Coturnix japonica: one gene and its partners. The protein of the gene in region 3 binds, or shares a complex with, the protein of the main gene of each other region. Links are inferred from orthologs where the notes say so. Each region holds a gene or a part of one and is shown on either strand. Other genes may lie near its edges.

What was found.
Region 1: the proteins of F7 (region 3) and F3 are in contact, whole or in part, in a crystal structure (PDB 6R2W), measured with the Homo sapiens proteins. The link is inferred for Coturnix japonica from reciprocal best matches to the Homo sapiens genes F7 and F3. Residues at the interface, in NP_000122.1 of Homo sapiens: Leu73, Lys78, Phe91, Arg96, Leu99, Phe100, Ser103, Ser120, Lys122, Gln124, Leu125, Ile129, Cys130, Phe131, Cys132, Leu133, Pro134, Phe136, Glu137, Gly138, Arg139, Lys145, Gln148, Ile150, Val152, Asn153, Glu154; in NP_001984.1 of Homo sapiens: Thr49, Asn50, Lys52, Ile54, Glu56, Trp77, Lys78, Ser79, Lys80, Phe82, Tyr83, Glu88, Asp90, Asp93, Gly141, Gln142, Thr144, Glu162, Arg163, Thr164, Leu165, Arg167, Phe172, Tyr188, Trp190, Lys191, Ser192, Ser194, Ser195, Gly196.
Region 2: the proteins of F7 (region 3) and POGLUT1 are in contact, whole or in part, in a crystal structure (PDB 5L0S), measured with the Homo sapiens proteins. The link is inferred for Coturnix japonica from reciprocal best matches to the Homo sapiens genes F7 and POGLUT1. Residues at the interface, in NP_000122.1 of Homo sapiens: Asp108, Gln109, Cys110, Ala111, Ser112, Ser113, Pro114, Cys115, Gln116, Asn117, Gly118, Gly119, Cys121, Gln126, Ser127, Tyr128, Arg139, Asn140; in NP_689518.1 of Homo sapiens: Met103, Phe104, Pro105, Ser106, Arg107, Arg132, Asp133, Pro171, Ala172, Trp174, Pro178, Thr179, Thr214, Asn239, Gln240, Ala241, Val274.

Annotation. Positions count from the first base shown.
Region 1 is NC_029523.1:11,730,265-11,734,181, forward strand, and holds the end of F3 (tissue factor), read left to right. Parts: intron 1-62; coding exon 63-247; intron 248-672; coding exon 673-854; intron 855-981; coding exon 982-1,141; intron 1,142-2,280; coding exon 2,281-2,423; 3' UTR 2,424-3,394; downstream 3,395-3,917. UniProt on the Homo sapiens protein: Initiates blood coagulation by forming a complex with circulating factor VII or VIIa. The [TF:VIIa] complex activates factors IX or X by specific limited proteolysis.
Region 2 is NC_029516.1:82,808,333-82,812,538, reverse strand, and holds the start of POGLUT1 (protein O-glucosyltransferase 1), read left to right. Parts: upstream 1-1,388; 5' UTR 1,389-1,515; coding exon 1,516-1,594; intron 1,595-1,726; exon of another isoform or gene 1,727-2,169; coding exon 2,170-2,260; intron 2,261-4,095; coding exon 4,096-4,206. UniProt on the Homo sapiens protein: Dual specificity glycosyltransferase that catalyzes the transfer of glucose and xylose from UDP-glucose and UDP-xylose, respectively, to a serine residue found in the consensus sequence of C-X-S-X-P-C.
Region 3 is NC_029516.1:123,942,417-123,944,860, forward strand, and holds the end of F7 (coagulation factor VII), read right to left. Parts: intron 2,178-2,444; coding exon 2,071-2,177; intron 1,619-2,070; coding exon 1,498-1,618; intron 1,326-1,497; coding exon 787-1,325; 3' UTR 514-786; downstream 1-513. UniProt on the Homo sapiens protein: Initiates the extrinsic pathway of blood coagulation. Serine protease that circulates in the blood in a zymogen form. Factor VII is converted to factor VIIa by factor Xa, factor XIIa, factor IXa, or thrombin by minor proteolysis.

The DNA of each region.
Region 1 (3,917 bases), on a different chromosome or scaffold from region 3:
GTGTAAGTAGCTTGTGAAAGTCTTCTTGGTTAGTGCTGACACTTCTTTCTTACTCTTTTCAGGGAGACGTCTGATACCAAAAAAAAATGCATAATGACTAAAGAAACAGAGTGCGATGTCACTGATGCACTCCGGAATGTAAAAGAGACCTACACAGCACATGTATTATCTGTAAAATCCTTGGTAGAGGACGACTTTGAAGAACCACCTTTTGCAAGCTCTGAAAAGTTCACACCTTATAATCAGAGTAAGTAGAGTTCCCAATTAAATCTTTTCATTAGCTTCCTTTCAAGATGATTTTCATTGACTTAAACAAGATTTGGATTTGGCCTAAAGCTTGCTCCTGTAGATTCTTCAGTAGCCCTACTGATGTCTTAGAAGATGGCATTCAGACATAAAGCTTTATTTCCCTGTTGCAGAGCAGTGTGTGAGATTTTAGCCAATACTTGTTTCTCACTTCACTGTTCACCATTTTATCAGCATTGTGTACAAGGTACAGATACTTGTTACTACCAGTACTGTCTTGGCTGAGTAAACTCTTCTGTTTGAGAAGGGAAGTAAGTTAAGGGAGGGAAAGAGCACATTTTGTAGAAAACAGTGGAAGTGTAGAACAAGCGAGAATGGGAAAAAGAAGTGATGCCAGTGTTTTAATTCTGAAAAATGCTTCTTTAGCTATTATTGGAAAACCGGAGATCCAAAACTACACACAAAAAGACTCCAAACTGCGTGTTGTGCTCCGTGATCCACTTACACCATATACATTTCCTAACGGAAGCTTTCAAAGTGTTCGAGATATTTTCAAACACGACCTGGAATACAAACTCTATTACTGGAAAGATCAAAGTTCTGGAAAGGTGAGGCCTTACTCTGCTTTTCTACATATTCTGTAGATACATAACAGCTATATAATTTTTCTGCTGCCTTAAAAGCACTCGTAATTTCGCAGAGGACATGAAATGATAAATGTTTTCTTCTTTACAGAAAGATACAACAACCAAAAGCAATACGTTTGATGTAAGCATTGACAACAAAAATAGCTATTGCTTCTACATACAGGGAATCATTCCCTCTCGCAGAGAAAATCGTAATGGTCAAGAAAGCACAGTGCTTTGTACCACTGTAGGAAGAACTACTTTAGATGGTATGTATCTAGTGAAGAGCATTGCGCTGCCTTCAGCATTCCAACAGAAAGACACTTCAGTTTTGAATGTGTTTTATAACTCTGTAATGTGTGATGCCTAAGTTACGAATGAACTTATGTAAGCGAAAGGACCACAGACTAATAGGAAGAACACCATTAGATAAGGACCCACCATCTTTAGCTAGCTGGAGTTGGCTGTAGAGTTTTGCTGAACTGCTTTGTTTCAGTTTTAAATTGTCAGAGCTGCTGACTGGTCACGAGAGTTTCAAGTCTCATCACTAGATTTCAGCTTTATTTTCTTTATTTGTTTGGCTTCTTGTGTGGTTGTTTTTTTTCCCCCACTGCTTCCCTTGAATCCACCTGATACAAGTGATCCCACAGCGAGTGCAAGTGGTTGATTATTTCTAAAGCATAGGAGTGCTGGAAATCTGAATGACAGGCATTTCCATTGACTTGTAATTTGAACTGAAATTTATTCTCTCAAAAGTACTGATGAGGCTAAGACTCTCTTTAGTGTTATATTGCCATGTCAGCTGACAGACTGACTTCTCATATATATGTGAGCAGACAGTGAATCAGCCAGTGTTATTCAGGCCAGAATAACACTTTCTTCCGTATAAAGTCTTAAATACTTATTAAATAGTATCACAATACTATCATGCTTGTTTTCTCTCCATTAGATGAAGCAACTTGGACTTTAAATAGAGAACCTCTTATGAAGTTTGCTTTCTAATTAACTTTATTATCTAAAGTATATGCTTTTAAATATCACAGTAGCTAAATTCTAGTAAGTTACAATTTAAATAAGAATATCTTTTATTGGTACTTTCTAGCTTCTAACCTAGAAAAAAAAAATACTCAGAGTTGGTTCCACAGAGATAATGCAGAGACTGGGGGAATGATTTGACCTACTCTTATTATTTATTTTGTTGTACTATCTAGATTAAAACCCACTGTGAACCACATGAAATAAAGCTTTACTTCAACAAATTCATTCTAAAACAAATTCAGTTCACACTAGGGTAACCATTCTACTTCCATGGTACATATTTTAGTTCAGTGTAAGGATTTGTAGCGCTGTGACGTGTTGTCTCTGATAACTTAACCTCGGATTATTTTTTTTTTCCCCAACTCTACAGAATACGGAGCAGAAGTCTTTATCATCATAGCAGTGGTAGCAATTGCAGTCATCACTCTGGCCATTGTCCTAGCGGTGATCCTGTGTAAACGCAAGAAAAAAGCAAAAACTGCAAGAGAAAAAGAACCACTTAATGGTGTCTAAAGGAAAACTGTTGTGGATACTCGTGGAAGACTCAAAGGCAGAAAAAAGGACGGAGCCTTTAGCCTCTCTGGTACAGGAAATTTGAAGCTAATGGATCTTTGAGTCCACCAAAGTTCTAGACAGTCACAGATTTAAAAACAAACAAAAGAAAGCCACAGATAGCAGGAAGCCCCTGTCTCCAGTGTCTGGAGGCTGGAAGAATATTTTGGTGATCTATTACAACATAATTACCCTCCTCATACATTCTTCTCAGCTAGAATCAAATGGATCTTTGATTTGACCAGGCACTCTCAAAATATAAGCATTACTGAGCCAGAAGTCTTTACAGTACTTGTGAGGAGAAGAAAAATACTCGTTTTGAAAATATGTCCTTTGCTAATGAAAAGGACCATTTTTCTGTTTCTATGAAACAAAACCTGTAATTATCTGACCTTCTTACAACATTATTAACTGGTGAAATGATTGTTAGTTCAGACGGTACGAAGATGCTACTGCCATTTCTGCACTTCTTGGATAAAACTGTCGTGGTCTGTTTATCTTTGGATATATCCAATCAGCAGTAAACAAATTAACACATTGGTGACCACTAATGTTCTTGCAGTAGGTAGCTGCTAACCATATGGAAAGCATATCTGGATTACACTACACCTACAGCTCCACAGACAGGGTAGCCTGTTGGCTCCAAGTAAGTGTTAGGATAAATACTTCAGCCTGAGGGAATAGTAACTCACTTCAGGCAAACACTGAGTAAGGAGCAGTAGTTACTGAACTTTATTTAAAATTAAATGGTAAATCAACTGTTTATGTATTATAGATTCAAATCATCTTGGTGATGGGATTCAGAGGTACTTTTTGCTATGACTGTTTTAATATTTATTTTATGGATGACAATCTAGTTTTTATACTGCTGATACCTGTATTTATAGTAATTTATACTTTTCTAGTGAAATAAAGGTGACTGGGAAAATAAAGCTTTTCTTTTTTTTTTTTTTTAAATGGAGTAAAATATTAATTTTGGAACTCAAGTTAAAAATGTGTTTAGGAAACTTACCTTGTGATTGAAGTTTACACAAGTTGTCAGAAATCCAGCCAGGACCACGTGAAATAAACCAGCAGGGCACCCACTACCTGCAAGGACAAAAATATGAGAAGCCATACTTCATGAACTAATGATAGGTATTGAAGAGCCCCAAGTTGCTGGTCAGCTTTCTGTTCGGTTAAGTGGTTATTCAGAATCAGCTTAATCTAATGGAAAGTATATTGGATGCCCAACTGGATGTTTGCTTAGGAATCCCCACGCTGATATCTTTACCACTTTTGATAGTAGTTTTCAGTCACGGCAGTATGGGATTTGATCCCAGGCTGATAACTGCTGCAACATTCAACCTATTGCTGCTGCTAACGATGGGGATAAGAACCAAAACAGAAAGGAAAAAAAAAAAGCATCGAGCAGTTCACACTAATTGGCTGTATACCTCAGTGGTATGTATGTGC
Region 2 (4,206 bases), about 41 Mb from region 3:
GAAGAAAATGGAAGGAGATTCTGCACAAAAAGACAGAAAGTTTCTGGCATAATCTGGAAAGAAGTAATTACTTCCCTGATTTGCTCAAAAATTCTTTGCCTGGACAACATGAGTTTGGGATGAGGCACAGCTACTCATTCTTTTCATTCTATGAAGCTGTTACTACCAGTAACAGAAACCGCGTAATTCACTCACTCCTCTGTAGTTCAGTCAGAGGACAACTCCAGCTGTACATTCAGAAGGCTGTGCTGACCCTAGCAGCTTCAAAGTCGGTGTTCAAAAAGCCCTTCAAGGTAATTTATTTCAAGGGTTGCACATATACACCTCTAGTCTTTGTACGTGGGAACCCCTGCCCTCCAGTCACAAAATCTACTCCTGATATTAGCATCTACTTCTGGCCTTCCACAGATTCAGCCTACGCATAGCACCCAAGTTTATCAGCTCGATTACATTCAGAAGAACTACTATCCTCCACAATTTTCAACCCTTAGGAAACCCTCACACTCTTCCTCAGCATGTGCTTTTCACCATTGGCCTGCTGTTAAGTAACTATTTCTTTAGTATAACCTACAGGTACCTACAGCCCTTACAGTCTCATGCAGATGAGGCCTTTGTAAGTTTAGGTGTTGGCTCCTGTGGCTAATCACTCAGCCTTTATGCTATAGATACCAGTTTAATTTAAATGTAAGTATACAATTGCTTGAGATGGAACAAACCTTAAAGGCCACACAGTCCAACTTCCCCTGCAATGAACAGGGGCACCGCAGCTCCATCAGGTGCTCTGAGCCCTGTCCAGCCTGACTTTGGGTGTCTCCAGAGATGGGGCACCCACCACCTCTCTGGGCAACCTGTTACAGTGCCTCACTGTTGTTACTGTAATAAACATCTTCCTGGTATCCAGTCTAAATCTTTTTGTTTGAAACCATTTCCCCTTGTCCTAACAGCAAAAGCCCTATTAAATAGCCTGTCCCCTTCCTTCTTACAGTCTACCTTTAGACGTTGAAAGGCTGCTCTCAGGTCTCCCCGCAGCCTTCTCTTCTTGAGGCTGAACAGCCCCAGGTCTCAGCCTGCCCTCATAGGGGAGGGGCTCCATCCCTGGGACCCTCTTTGTGGCTCTGCCCTGGATTCGCTCCAGTAGGTCCATGACTCTCAATGTAACGGCTCCTCCCCACGGCAGTGAGGCCACAGCACCTCTCCCTGGGATCCAAGAGCAGCAAAAGCAGATCTGGACTAGGAAAGACAGCTTAAGACCACATATATACACAGATCCCATGAAGAGCAGGCGGGCTGTTCCACACTCTACCTTAAGAAGATCAAATTCATACAGGAATCAAATTCATACAGGACAGCGTTTGCTTACACCCAACCTTTCTAGAGGTGCAGCGGCGGGAACTACAGCTCCCATCCATCCGCTCAGCAGCACGCACCCCTCCCCTCCCGCCGCCATCTTTGCGGGGCCGCCATCTTTGCTCAGGGAGTCACCGCCCCCCGGCGGCCAGGCGCGCAGGCAGCAGCATGGAGCGGGCGGCGCTGTGGGGGCTGCTGGCCGCCGTTGCTGTGTGGCCTTCGGGAGCGGCGGATGGTGGGTCAGAAGGTGAGTGAAAGAGACGGGCCGTGGGGAACACCACGGGGAAGAGAGCGGCTCTCCCTAGTTGCCTTTTATAGGGCGGCCCAGCACATGTAGGAAGGAGGGGCTGCCAGGCCCAGCCCTCCCCTCAGTCCTCACCTGGGTGTCCCGGCGGTGCTTTCATCACTTAACTGTAGCAATAGAGTCATTTCAGAGATAAAGTCCATGCAGTTCCTTGTAGTTACATAGCGGGATGCAACTAGTGCAGTGCAACAGTTGTGGTTCTCTAATGTGCGCTCAGGGAGCCCGGTTTGGTTTAACAGCCTGCAGGCAGCAAGGCTGTGCTAAAGGAACCGATGTCACTGCTCAGTAGGCAGCGTCAGTGGAGCAGTTATGGGTTGAAGGGTCAGGGTTCTGTCAGCAGGGGAATGGTCAGTGTCAGCCGTGCTCTAGTTCAGCTGTGTGGGCTGAAGTGTGTCCCAGGATCGTGGTGCGTCGCTATTGCCCTGCTGCCAGCTGGAGAAGTGCTGCTCAGCTTCTGCTGATTGCTCTGGTTGTTTAATGAATTAATGCCTTTCACTTTTCCTTTCTGTGTATTTTAGATGCCAAATGGAAAGCAATAACAGATCAAATTAACAGAGCTGTAGAAGTCTATAAGCCATGCGTAAAGGAGAATTGTAGCTGCTACCAAAGGTAAGAGATTAGTTTCCTTTTTACTGAACAGGGCTATGGTCATGATCACAGCACTGATAGATGGGAGTTAGCTGTAGAATATGTGTGCTCTAATGTAGCACATCTGCAGCCAACATAGGTTGCAGTGCTTACAAGGAGTTTATTAATGGCATTGTGTGAAACTTTCATAGTTCCAGCATGAGTTGTGTCCACCTGCAGATTGACCACCGTGCTTGTTGTCCTCTGTGACTGAACAACATAAACTGAGTCAGCATCTCATACGTAATCACACAATAATTCCATACACAGCTGGTGATATTTCTGTATTAGAAATCCACTCTGCATTCACCCTCTGTACAATATTTGTTGCTAACAGGTTTATCTGATGGACTTTTAAAACTGAGGGAAATAAATATATGTAAATATTTAAAAGAGGATTAAGAAGGATAATTACAGAACATGGATTTATTTGGCATGATGCTATGTGGTACTTGCTAACTTGTGGAACACTTGTATACCATAGTGACAGACATTACTAAAGAGTCCAGAAAGATAATACAGTACCTACACTGTATGACACTAAGAAACTCAGCTCATTTTGATAGCTGATCTGGAGAGATGCAAATGTGCAGCAGAATAGTGAAAGCCAGTCCCTTTCCTTAGATAATGGATTTTACTTGTGTCAGATTTTCTCTGGGTGGCCAAGAACTGAAAATTCTAGCCTGTTATTGACAATAGAAAGGTAGCAAACAGCAACGTGGATGCGCTATAAAACTCTTTCTTCCCGTTCTCCAGCTTGTTACATTTGCATCCCTGCTTATATACTTTGTCAACCTATCTGTACTGTAGCAATTCTTGATGTAGTTTACATTTTTCTGTCTGATACAGAATAACAGAATCATTGACCTCGGAGGGGACCTTTTGAGATCAAGAAATCCAACCTCCCTGTTCAAGCAGGGCCACCTAAAGCAAATGGACAGGATGGTGTCCAGTCAGACCAGAGACCCCACTACTTCTCTGGGCAGTCTGTGCCAGTGTTTTATCACTCACACATTTGGTTCATCCCCTTCAGATGGGTCTGTGCATTAAACCAGGCCATTGATGCAATGTCTACTAAAAAGTAGAGGGGAACTCTCCATGGCTGTTACCGTCTGAGAACAATTGTTAACTGCTCCAAGCAGTTGGATCTGGGGGTCTTTAGACTATATATAAACTGCATTCTCTGTCTGTATTTTAACATATCGGTTAGGTTTATGTTTTCTATTTTCTATTTCTACTATATTCTAGGAGCTCACCAATGACATGCAGATATCACAGAATACAGTCTATATAGGCTTGTTCTCCTGGACTAGCTTTTACTGTATGCAGCATTACCCAGTAATCCTTGTGACTAGACTGTTACTTACTTTTTTTATAAATTTTAAAATTGACATTTAGTGAGGAATTTGGTCTTGGTGTAGCCCACCATTATTGGAAATCCAGAACACAAGCTTCAGAACTCAAAGTTTAAGTGAACTGAAAGCTTTTATCCATAACCTGTCAGGGTGTTTAATGCCTATTTGTTTTTTGGAAGAATAACTGCAGTGAACCACATTGATTTAGTTTGAGAGTCCGGTGCTGGGTTTTCTGTTCAGGCAAACAGCACATAGATCATCACAGAGCAAAGCTGGGACTTTGGAGTCTCAGAGTAGTGGCTGTTTCAGTTGACTTAAGTTGAATCCTCTGTTATGCCATGTGTAGCAGAGCTGGAAGCCACATAAAGTTTGTTGTAACTAGAAACCTTTTCTGTATGCTGCAGTACTTTAATGTGCAGCATCCCCCAATGTACCTAATGATGGCTAATTGTTTTGTTTCAGTGTCTGGAAACAGGACCTGGCTCCTTTTCGAAGTGGCATTTCCAAGGAGACAATATCAGATGTGGTAAGCCGGAAGCTTGGAACACACTACCAAATCATTAAGAACAAGCT
Region 3 (2,444 bases):
TGATTGATCTGATATTCAGCATGACTTGAAAGAATCCCAATTATACAAGAAGGCAAATGTAGGATTAAATCTGTGGTAGTCTTCATCACAATACTCATAAATGTATTGTTAGTAGCCTTACTGCAGTAATATTTAGTGAAAGAAGACTAAAATCAAGTTTTCTTAGCAAACCCATAAATGTGGAATTAATCTTTTACTGGATTTCTTGTCCTGAGGATGTTCTGCAATTCCTCCCTCTCAAATCCACCTGCTGGAACTGCAAAAGAAAGTTTCTTCACCATAAGCTAAAAGAAACACCATTTCTCTTTCCCCTGCTGTTGCTTCATTGTATTGCAGGACCTATCAGCACAGGAAGTGTAAATGAGATTGCACATGTGTATGGCAAATGGGTTCATTCATGACCTCTCAGACTCATGCAACTTCTTGCTCAGGAAGTCTGTACATCATTGATTACCAGCAGCCATGATAGCAGCACAAGGAAGGATCACGGTGTACTCAACACATTACCGACAGTGTTTTTCAGCACCAAGCTTTTCTATTACCAGAAAATGGGTGAAGAATGAGGGACTCTGCATCTGGTTTGATAGAGCCTTTCTGTGGCCTCTTGACAAGACATTCAAGTTTACAACAATATCAAAGTTATTTTATCTATTCAGGCAGGCATTAGGCTCATTTAAAACTGTGAACAATATCACCTTTACCATGTGTCTGAGTTAACGGAGGAATGCTTCAGTAGGAAAATGCCACAGAGGGATGAAGGCAAGGAAATGCTCTGGTTCACTGTTGTCATTCCATGTGCTTCTTCAACCAGTCGATGTATCTGGATACCCTTGTGTAAACCCCATAGCTGCCTTCAACAGCACAACCCTTTCCCCAGCTGACAATCCCAGTCAGAAACCAGGTGTTCTTATACTTCGTTGCGTGAGGTCCACCACTGTCTCCCTTGCAGGAGTCTTTTTTGCCAGTCAGGTCTCCTGCACAGAACATATTCTCGGTGACGTTTAACTTAGCCTGCTTTTCACATTCTTGTGTCTTTACACGTGGCAAATCAACTCGCATCAGAAAAGTAGAAGTAGCCCCTCCATCTAGTAGCCGTCCCCATCCGCTCACCGTTGAGAACTTAATGGAGGACAGCTCGTACACTGCAAACCGTTTTTCAGGCAAACATATTGGCACCACAAAATCGGTGAGATTCACGGGTGTTTCCAGCTTCAAGAGGGCAATGTCATGATTGACTTGTCCATTGATGTATTCTTCGTGTCTGATGATCTTGCTAACTGCACGTTCTTGCTCAGTTTTCTCATCAACTTTTATTGAGTATTCACCTGGAAAAGTTAATGATTGCAAGTCATGTTGGCCAGAAACTGGATTCCTTGGGAGCTTGTGGGTGGATGCAGGAGATTTCTAATCTGACTCTTTTTGGTTTTCACTCTGGTTTCTCAGAAGGAGAAATTAAGACAACAACAGCTTGTTAACACGGGGAAGGGAGATACATACCCAGCCTCACGCGGAGCTGTTTGGTATGAGTGTAATCCAGGCAATGAGCTGCAGTCACCACCCACTCTGGCGAGAGCAGACTACCACCACACTTCCCTTTCTTATCCTGTATTATAAGGGCCTGCCAACAGAAAGCAAGTTTTTTACTTGTATCTCAATAGAGTCCAGTTTTGCTTCTTTCTGTCATCATACACAACTGTGCTTGAGAATACTATTCTGATTTTGCAGAGAATTTAGGAGGGAGGAGTTTTCTGATCAACATTTTCTCCATTTTTTAAGCATAGATCCTGTGTATTATGGCCAAGAGTGTATCCCTAGGTCAAGTTCTTAGCAGTATAATTAACAATGGAGGGATCAGGAAGCAGAGGAGGTTATATTACGACTCAACTCCTAGGAAAGTAGGCATTCAGAACCAGGCTGAGATGCGTGATTGAAACAGGTAGAGCTGCTGGGTGTAGATGGTTTGCCCAAACCTTACACTTTTGATGCATTTTAACATAACACGTTTAAAATACTGAATGGCTTCACGAGAAAAACAGCAATGACAATGTTAAATATTAGTGGAAGACTCACTTGCCATGGACATTCACCTGGAGGACAGGTGACACCACCTACTATTCTGCCCCGAGCAGTCACATTCTTTTTTGCCAGCACTGGTATTTTTCCACAAGGGTATTTCACTGAAAAAGGAAAAAGAGTAACAAGTGTGATTTCATTGCACTGAATTCACAGCAAACTGTCACAGACTGATTCTTATGAACATCTTCAGTGGAGCTTTGTTAGCTGAAAAACAGGTTCATAGTGTGGGAGCATGGGCTCTCTGAAGTCACCCAAAGCAGCTCAGCAGGCAGGTAGGTTTTTGTCTGCAGAAAGACATATGTGGCTTCACATTGATGGATTCATATACCACCACTGTGACTTCTGCTATGTCTCTAAGTCTGCTTTTG